2 linked regions of the Rattus norvegicus genome follow. The protein of the gene in region 1 interacts with the protein of each later gene in a pairwise test. Links are inferred from orthologs where the notes say so. Each region holds a gene or a part of one and is shown on either strand. Other genes may lie near its edges. The genes, in order: Stk16 and Plscr3.

Region 1 (4,294 bases):
GCTGGGGGTCCACAGTCATCATAGAGGCCAACAGCTGTCGCAATGCTGAAGAATGCCTGTGGGATGGGGAAGGCAGAGGACTGGAGGACACCTAGAACTGCTAGGATTCCAACTCGGCTGGCTCTAGGCCAAGTCTACAATGCTCAGTGTCCTCTTACTCCTCACCTGGGGCTTTGTGGGATGCTGAGGTCATTCTGCACAGCAAGGGCCACACTGTCACCTTTCTGGAACACCATATCATAAGGGCCTTCCCCAAACATCATTGCATAAAGCACACAGCCTAGGGACTGAGCATAATTTGGTTAGTTCCTGGAAGGTGAAAAATGGCATCTCTCTCCTTATTGCTATGGTAAAAGGAGACCATGTAAGCTAAAAATATGCCAACCTCGCTCCAAGGAACCATGTTAGCAGGAAGGAGGTCTGTGTGCCCCTGCTTAGCCAGTGCCTCTAGCAGTTCAGCCACAGTGATTGCACAGCTTCCTGAGAACAGTGTCAGTGATGGTTCCCAGGAAGGAAGTGGACGGGTATGGAGACATACTGTGGCTCTGGGGTTCCATGCAACAGAAACCAAGTCTCCTTCCCTTTAATCCAAAATAGTTACAAAGCCACACCCCTCTCCACCCAGGTTCCCACCCACATGCTCCTCACCCAGACATCAGTCCGCTCATCGATGACACAGTGGCTTTGCACAGAAAAAAGTTCAGGTGCCCGGTAGGAGATGGTGCACCGCTGGGCTGCCCAGTCCTGGAACAGTGTCCCCAGAGCTCAAAAGTGGAGCACAAGCCATATCATGTGACCAAATTGGTGCATGCATCAGAATGGTCTGGGGATGGGGAGGAGATGGCCAAAGAAACCTGGGGACTCTCTTACCTGTAGAGCTAGGGCCTGGCGAGATCCCTCCACTTGGATGCATGCTTGATTCATAGAACCCAAGTCCATTAAAACCGGCTGCCCCTCATCACCAAGCAAAATATTGGTGGGCTTCAGGTCCCTGGAGGGAAGTGAAAATGACCCAAAGGCATCCTGGGTAGGTAGGCTGGTATCCCAGGGAGCACCATGAAGAGAGTGCAGAGAAACCCCACTTCTCTTGGCATTGCTCTTTCCCCTGGCTTCAATAAGTGTAGGGCCCGCCCACTGACCTGTGTGCATAACCTTTGGCATGAATGGCCTCAAGGCCTCTGCAGATACCCAGCAACAACGGAAGGATTTGGTCTTCAGTCAGGAAGTTGCCTTGGTCCTTCAGCCTTTCTATCTCATTCCACAGTGTACCTCTCTACAACACAAGTTTTCCGTGTTGAGACATTCTGAAGCTTCCATTTCCCAGGATTCTATTTTGTGTTGAAGTCTGTCAACCCTTTTACCACATACACTCTCACTGATCATTTGGGGCTATGTGTGATGTCAAGTTCATAGGGGATCCTATGGTTCTCTGAGCCCCAAATATAAAGTGGCCAAAACCAGGGTGTGTGTTCCTAGGGTATTTATATTTGACTGCCCACAGAGCCCTTGGTGGGGTTGTACAATGCTACAATCCCCTCTATAACCACAAGCTTTTCTGACCTTGAAGAAGGGTAGCAGCAGCCAGGCTTCATGCTTAGCACCTCGTTCTTTCAAAGAGTAAGCCATGAGGCGAAGGATGTTTGGATGCTGGAAGAGGCGATGCATGTCTGCCTCTCGTTGGGCCTCTTCCTGGTCCTGCTGCTCATGACACAGGATTCGCTTCAGGGCGTAGAAGTGTCCATCATGTAAGCCCTCCACTAGGTCCACGTAGCTGAACCCACTGTGGGCCAAAGGGGTCGATGAAGGACCACGGTCGTCTCCCATATGGCTTAGACCCCGAGAAATTCCCTTAGGGAAGGGTGCCTCTCACATGGAGTAGAAACCCTCCCACGATGTAGTTCTCATATAGTTTCAAGACGTTAAGGTCTGCCATCTTCAAGAGCAGGGGCACAGAAATCACTGAGACCCTTTGGTCTGAGCATAAGATGCTCAATTAATTTCAAGTAACAATCAAAATTTAGTAAGTGCTCATGAGCCAGGCACTGGGTGACATGTTTTAAAGAATATACTATCTAACTTAGTTTTCTCACCAGTCCCTCAGTGAGACATTATAATCATCTCCGTTTAAGCAGAAGAAACCAGTTTACTTAAGGTCACACAAAGTAGATTCAGGAGGCCAGGGCCTAGAATACAATTCTTGACCTATTCAGCTAACCGGTCAGGTGAGGTAGAATCTAAGGCTAATACTCTTGTGTCCCTATTACTGCCCCTAAATGACCTGGGTCTAGCTAAGTGACTTCCATACACTCACCCCTCCCCCAATTTCTGGACGAAGAGGTAACGCTTATTGTCAATGATGACAGTTCCCCGGGAACAGACACACAGTGCATGGCCCATAGCGTCTCAGTCATCCTCTTCAAGGATGGTCTTTCTTCCAGGGAGAGTGGGCTCTTCCAGACGATGGGTTGGGGTCCCGGCGGATCATGCTGGAATGAAAACAGCAGGTCGCGGGTAAAGAACAATCCAGACAGCCACTGAGATACCAACCAGTAGAGCTCAGGTTCACCTCCGAGAACCCAGATTCACATCTAAAGAAAACAGTCCCTGGTGACTCCAGCTCTAAGAAGGCTGAGTTCTGGCACCCCAAAGCCTCAGGCCACGCTGTGTCTTACCAGGCCGCTTCCTTCAACCCCGGCCCACCTTCGGCCAGGTCCAGCTCTCACACCCGTGAGGCATGGGGTGGCGCAGTAGGTGCGGGACTCGAGCCCACCTCTGGCCGAGTCCACCCTCCGTCGCTGAGGACCGAGCACAGGATCTGCCAATACAAACTCTTCAGTGACCTGGCTCCTGCCTGTGCAAAGGGCCAGGGACCGGAAGCTACGGTGACATCATCAGTCCGCGTCGAAGTAACGGCCTGCTGTATCCTAGCAACAAGAGGCGGCAAGAGGATGTGGGGACCCGGAAGTGAGAGGCCGGGGCCGGGCTAGACCTGGGGTGGGTTGGTTTCTATATCTCGCCGAGGGTTCCCACTTGCCCTTCAGTAAGGGTCAAGACGCAGGGACTTGTACCAAAGGGGAGCAAAGCAGGGCTCTGCCCGAGTCCCCTAGGACCTCCGTCTCTCAATGTCGGAGGTAGGAGGCCTTATAGCTCCCGCGCGCTGGAGTTAGAAAGTGACTTATTACAATCTAGCTTTGAGGAGGGACCAGAGAAAGGCGGGTGCTGACCCTTAGATCCCTGGAGGTCTGACCCCTTAATACTTTTAGGGGTCTGGCCTGTGTTCCACTACCTGGCCAGTGTCAGAGTGTGCCCTTGAACTAGATGCCAGTTTCTAAATCTGGTCCTAACAGTCTCCTAGCTTTGTCACCTCCAGGAATTAGTCTTTCAGATCCGCATGTTTCCCAGCTGTAAGTCAGTACCTACAGCAAAGTGTTGTGAATTATGAGGCCAAAGTGACTAGTTCAATCCCAGCTCTACTGAACTAGTTGTGACTTTGGACAGTCACGTAATATTTCCAACCTTCATTTTCCTCGTGTGTAAGATGAGAATGAAAATCATTTCATGGGCTGTTTCAAAACTAAATGAGATGTCTTTTGTACAGTTTTTGAAACATAGCCTTCAGTGTGTGTTAATAAACAGAAATTATAGTATTTTCTACCCTGACCCTGAAATCCACTGGTGTGAAGGCAGAAGAAATGGAAAATTAGACTTCTAAGCTTATGCAGTTTTCGTCACATCTCCTGCCTAGACAGACAGGTATATATTGGAAAGGGGTGCGCCTTAAAAATAAGAGTGACCAGAACAGGCTCCTTGTAACCCATTTCCCCTTTTCATAGTCATGATCACCATGAAGATTTTCTGGTTTCCACTGTTTCTGAATCCGTTTTGACCCTACTGCTACCATTCATATAGATTTAGCCTGATTTGTGCCAGATCCTTTGCTAGTCATGAGGACATAAGACGCCGTTCCCGCCCTCCGAGAGTTCAGCGTAGAAGAGCAAGCTTGTTAAAGTACAGACTTTAATTCTACAGGTCTGGGGTAGGACCCGAGATTCTGCGTTTCTAACTAGCTCCCAGGTGATGCTAATGGAGTTGATTCGGGTTCAGCACTTCGAGAAGTAATATATAGAGGATTTTACAAACTAGTGGATGGTGGAAGGCTACGGGCAGAGTCCGGGTTAACTGGCCTGAAAACTTGAGGTGGTCTCCGCCCCTTTGCTTGATGAGGTTCCCTCCCAGGAATCCGACACGTGACGGGTGGGAAAGCCCTCACTGAATAGAAGAACTTTGTAAGGTC
Region 2 (4,398 bases), on another chromosome or scaffold:
CTCCAGCCCCCGAAATGGCCCTTGTTAATAAGACTGTCCACTGCTGTGTGCCTCAACCTAAGCCTACTGAAGAGGGCTTGTTTAGAATTTGGGGGCTGGTAAAGCTTTGGCTCATTGGCTGCCTTTCCAGCATTAGTTAGAAGTCCCCGAAAGGGGCTGCAGAGATGGCTCAGCGGTTAAGAGCACTGGCTGCTCTTCCAGAGGTCCTGAGTTCAATTCCCAGCAACCACATGGTGGCTCACAACCATCTGTAATGGGATCTGATGCCCTCTTCTGATGTGTCTGAAGACAACGGGATCTTAGAGGTGCTGGGTCAATAGAGACAGCAAAATACCTGAAGCCAGGGATTGCATGAGCAGGCTGTAAATGATGGGGCAATGCAGGGCAAGGGATAGGGGTCTATGCTGTGCAGAAGCCTCAGAGGCTCATTTTCTTCTTTGTACATCCTGTCTCTGAGGCACAATGAAGTCATGTTTCCTCAGATGCACATCAAGACCACCGTCACTGCCCTGGTCTCTGGTCCAATCCATCACATTATGACCAGATTTCTCCTTACCTTTGCCTGCCTACAGCCTCCTAGGTTTTTCTAACACAGCAGTGCTGTTTTGGCTGTACAATAAAACTAGAATTCTCAGAGTCCCTAGTCTGCATCCCAAGCACGGAAATATAATTGGTAGCATGTAAGACCCAGGCACAAGTGGTGGGCTGTTTTGGGCTTTGTTTCTTTAATATCTCCCCTAGTGACCCAGGTCACTCCCAAGCTGACCGGGAACCCATGATCCACCCCATCTGCCCAGATACTTTGCTTTCTTCTTTTGAGAAAGGGAGTCTTTTAAGAAAGCCCCCCAATTGTAGCCCTGAATTGGTCTGGAACTATGTAGAACAGACTGACCTCATACTTGTAATTATTCTCCTGCCTCTCCTTTCCCAAATGCTGGGATTCCAAGCTTTGCCACCATGCAGAGGAATGGAGGGGCCTGTTCTGTTCAAGTGTTTTTCCCTGAGCCTTACCTCATGCACATTCATTACTGATACCGTTTGAAAGCCTGTCACGCGTGTAATGGGCGCGCCTGAACTGAGAGGTGACTGAGTGGGTCAACGCTGTGACAGGGAGAGAACACAGCGAGGTCGCCCTGAGATAGAAGACTGCCAAGCCAACTCTGGAAGGCAATGAGGGAGTGTGAATAGTGTTCCGCTGCGTCAGCGAGGCCCGACCCGCCCTTGGGAGGAGGATCCCGGGGTCCGGAGCAGCCACGCGGTGGGGAGGCAGAACCGCCACCCGCTGAAAAGGCGAGGGTCTTGTTGCTGGGGATAGGGCCGCAATCACCCTCCGACAGCCCAGGTCTCCACGCCTCTGCAGTCGGAGCGGAAGGGGCGGGACCAGGGCGAACGAGGCGCACAAGGTCCAAGGTCCGCGGCCCCGGGGGAGGAGAAGCGCCTGCTTTCTGCGCAGTCGCCCCGCCCGGATTGGGGGTGGGACTTAGGCGACCCGGGGGTGGGGTCAGATCTGGGCCCGCCTCCACCAGCGCCTGTGAGCCCGGGAGTGCGTGGCCCCCCCCCCCGGCTTTCTTATTCTGGGGGCTTCAGGTGAGCGCCCGGACCATAAAGGGGTTAAGGAGACTTTCCTCAGGGTCAGGTCATCTGTTTGACCTCAGGTTCAACTGCTCTGCCGTCTGCCCACAGCCATCTCCGCAAAAAGAAATGGGAGAACAAAGGGAGGGGGCGGTCCTGGGGCCCCTAAGGAAATTCAGGGTCCTGGGTAACCCGCCCCGCCCGCTGACACTTTCGATTTCATAGGTGCCTCCCAAGAGACCCTGGGCCGGTGCTGGGCGCAGCTGCCTCTTCGCCTCTGCTTGTCCGTCTTTGTTTCTGTGCCTGTCTGGCTGTTCCCAAGCTTGTCCCCACTCCAGAACTAAGCCTCCCCTACGCCGACAGCCCAAGACACCCTTCCCCTTTCCCATGGCAGGTACGTTGGCTCTAGGTTGGGGTCTCCGTTATCCCCCCTCACGAACTTGGGTGCCGGGTGTCGAACACATTCTCCAGGAATGTGCTCAGACTGGCTGCGTGGGGCCCTCCCTTCCTCCTGGGAAACCACCGCCCTGCCCCCCCCCCCCGCCCCATCATTCTCTGCCTCTTCTTACGTTTTCCGCGGGTGCTCCTGGTCCTTGGGCTGAGAAAGAGGATAAGGACACAGGTAACTTTCTAATCTACCCCTGCTCCCCTGCAGGCTACTTGCCCCCCAAAGGTTATGCCCCTTCGCCCCCACCTCCCTACCCCGTGCCAGCTGGGTATCCAGAGGCGGCGGCGCTGCATCCTGGACCCGGACAGGCTCCAGTGCCCACCCAGGGGCCTGCCCCTGCGCCTGGCTTCTCTCTCTTCCCCTCGCCAGGCCCGGTGGTCCCAGGGCCTCCTGGTCCCTTCGTGCCATTGCCAGGGGTGCCTTCTGGCCTGGAATTCCTAGTGCAGGTGAGTGGGAGAGAGGATGGCTGGGAGGAGGACTGATGTTCGAGGTGAGGAATGAGGTCAACGCTGCTCTTAACACTTTACAGATTGATCAAATCTTGATTCATCAGAAGGCTGAGCGAGTGGAAAGTGAGTAGGAGGTGGAATTAAGTTGGGCTTCATGATGTTTGTGACAGTGGTGAGTTTCTGGGCAGGTGAGGCCCCTGAGCCTCAGCGTGTTCCCCTTCACAGCGTTCCTAGGCTGGGAGACCTGTAATAGGTATGAACTTCGCTCCGGGACCGGACAGCAACTGGGTCAGGCAGCTGAGGAGAGCAACTGCTGTGCCCGGCTGTGCTGTGGTGCCCGCCGGCCGCTTCGTATCCGCCTAGCGGACCCCGGGGACCGCGAGGTGCTCCGCCTCCTCCGCCCACTTCACTGCGGCTGCAGCTGCTGTCCTTGTGGTCTTCAGGAGGTGGGCATGACAGGTTTTGTGGTGGTCGGTGGGCAGTGTGGTAAGCGGCCCAGAAAGAGTTGTGGCTTTAGGAGGAGTCGGGGCGGTCGAGTGTCTGATCAGTCAGAAGACAGCAAGCAGCAATATAGGGCGCTGGCCAAGGTACCGTGGCTTGGCAGTGGACCTGTCTGCTTCCCTTTCCAGATGGAAGTCCAGGCCCCACCTGGCACCACCATTGGCCATGTGCTACAGACCTGGCACCCCTTCATTCCCAAGTTTTCCATCCTGGATGCAGATCGCCAACCTGTTCTACGAGTCGTAGGGCCTTGCTGCACTTGTGGCTGTGGGACGGACACCAACTTTGAGGTATTATAAATTGGGGGGGGGGGGGGGTTGGTTTCTAGACTCTTCACAAACCAAGATGGGGGCCGATGAGATGGCTGTAGCCATGAGTCCCACACGGTGGAAGAAGACAATCAACTCCTGCAGACTGTCCTCTCCACACACACGCCGTGGTGCATACAGTCAACCAACCCATCAATCAATGTAATGGGGGGGGGGGAGGCAATAGCCTCCATGCTAATGGATGGCTTAAGGTCAAGACCCTTAATCCTACCATTCCCGATCTCTTGTGACCCCTGCTACGTTTTGAGTTTTCTTCCACCCAATAATGTGAGCCTATAAAAGCACACCAAAAAAACCCCTCATGACAGCGCACACTTTTGATCTCAGCACTCAAGAGGCAGAGGCAGGCAGATCTCTGAATTCACATCTACTTAGTGAGTTCCAGGACAGTCAAGACTATATAGAAAGATCCTGTCTGAAACCAAAACATTTCTTCTTCTTCTTCAGTCCAAGGCTGAAGTGTTCCCTACCGCCCAGCAAGGGCCTAGGGGAGCATCTGAGGCCAGCCTGGACCTAAAGTGGAGGAGTCTCATCTCCCAGCCTTTCACTGCTTAAGTTTGTCATGGGCTGGACCCAGGTAGCCCTGTGCCTATCTGTAAGCATAGGCCCTTTCATAATTTAACCCTTGGCTTGTCCTGCAAGCCTAGAAGTCCAAAGGACCCATCCAACCTGAAGTCCAGGTGATGTCCTTTTCACGAAGGCTTTCCTCTCACCAACCCAGAGCCAGGGGAACTCAGGTGAGGAGCTCTGGCTCTTCGAAGGCAGCGGTGCTGCTCTGATCCTTGAGCTCTTTAAGGGATGATTTCCCATTCTGATAAGGGAGAAACAACAAGTTTCCTCCAGTAGAGGTTCTTCACCTAAGGTTGCCTTTAAAAGAGTGAGTCACCTTGGTAGTCAGAGGCAGTTTCTGTGCTGAGAACCGGTTGGAGAGGAGATAATTGTGTGATCTCTGGTGGGAGTGTGTGTGTTACAGGGCTCTCAGGGAGTCAGTGTCCCTTGAACTCAATCTTGAATGGTCCATATTTGAGCCACACTCTGGGAGCTGCGGAGTTGTCGGCCCTAGACTTTGTGGAGCCTGGAACTGGGCTGCAGGAAGTTC

What was found.
Region 2: the proteins of Stk16 (region 1) and Plscr3 interact in binary tests that used the Homo sapiens proteins (3 or more experiments, as listed by UniProt). The two-hybrid records come from large-scale screens. The link is inferred for Rattus norvegicus from reciprocal best matches to the Homo sapiens genes STK16 and PLSCR3.

The regions. Positions count from the first base shown.
Region 1 is NC_086027.1:84,152,858-84,157,151, reverse strand, and holds the start of Stk16 (serine/threonine-protein kinase 16), read right to left. Parts: upstream 2,868-4,294; 5' UTR 2,673-2,867; intron 2,487-2,672; 5' UTR 2,398-2,486; coding exon 2,312-2,397; intron 1,781-2,311; coding exon 1,561-1,780; intron 1,274-1,560; coding exon 1,140-1,273; intron 992-1,139; coding exon 871-991; intron 745-870; coding exon 649-744; intron 288-648; coding exon 166-287; intron 57-165; coding exon 1-56. UniProt on the Homo sapiens protein: Membrane-associated protein kinase that phosphorylates on serine and threonine residues. In vitro substrates include DRG1, ENO1 and EIF4EBP1. Also autophosphorylates. May be involved in secretory vesicle trafficking or intracellular signaling.
Region 2 is NC_086028.1:55,064,080-55,068,477, forward strand, and holds the start of Plscr3 (phospholipid scramblase 3), read left to right. Parts: upstream 1-1,525; 5' UTR 1,526-1,587; intron 1,588-1,797; 5' UTR 1,798-1,959; coding exon 1,960-1,966; intron 1,967-2,227; coding exon 2,228-2,466; intron 2,467-2,549; coding exon 2,550-2,592; intron 2,593-2,694; coding exon 2,695-2,915; intron 2,916-3,098; coding exon 3,099-3,260; intron 3,261-4,398. UniProt on the Homo sapiens protein: Catalyzes calcium-induced ATP-independent rapid bidirectional and non-specific movement of the phospholipids (lipid scrambling or lipid flip-flop) between the inner and outer membrane of the mitochondria.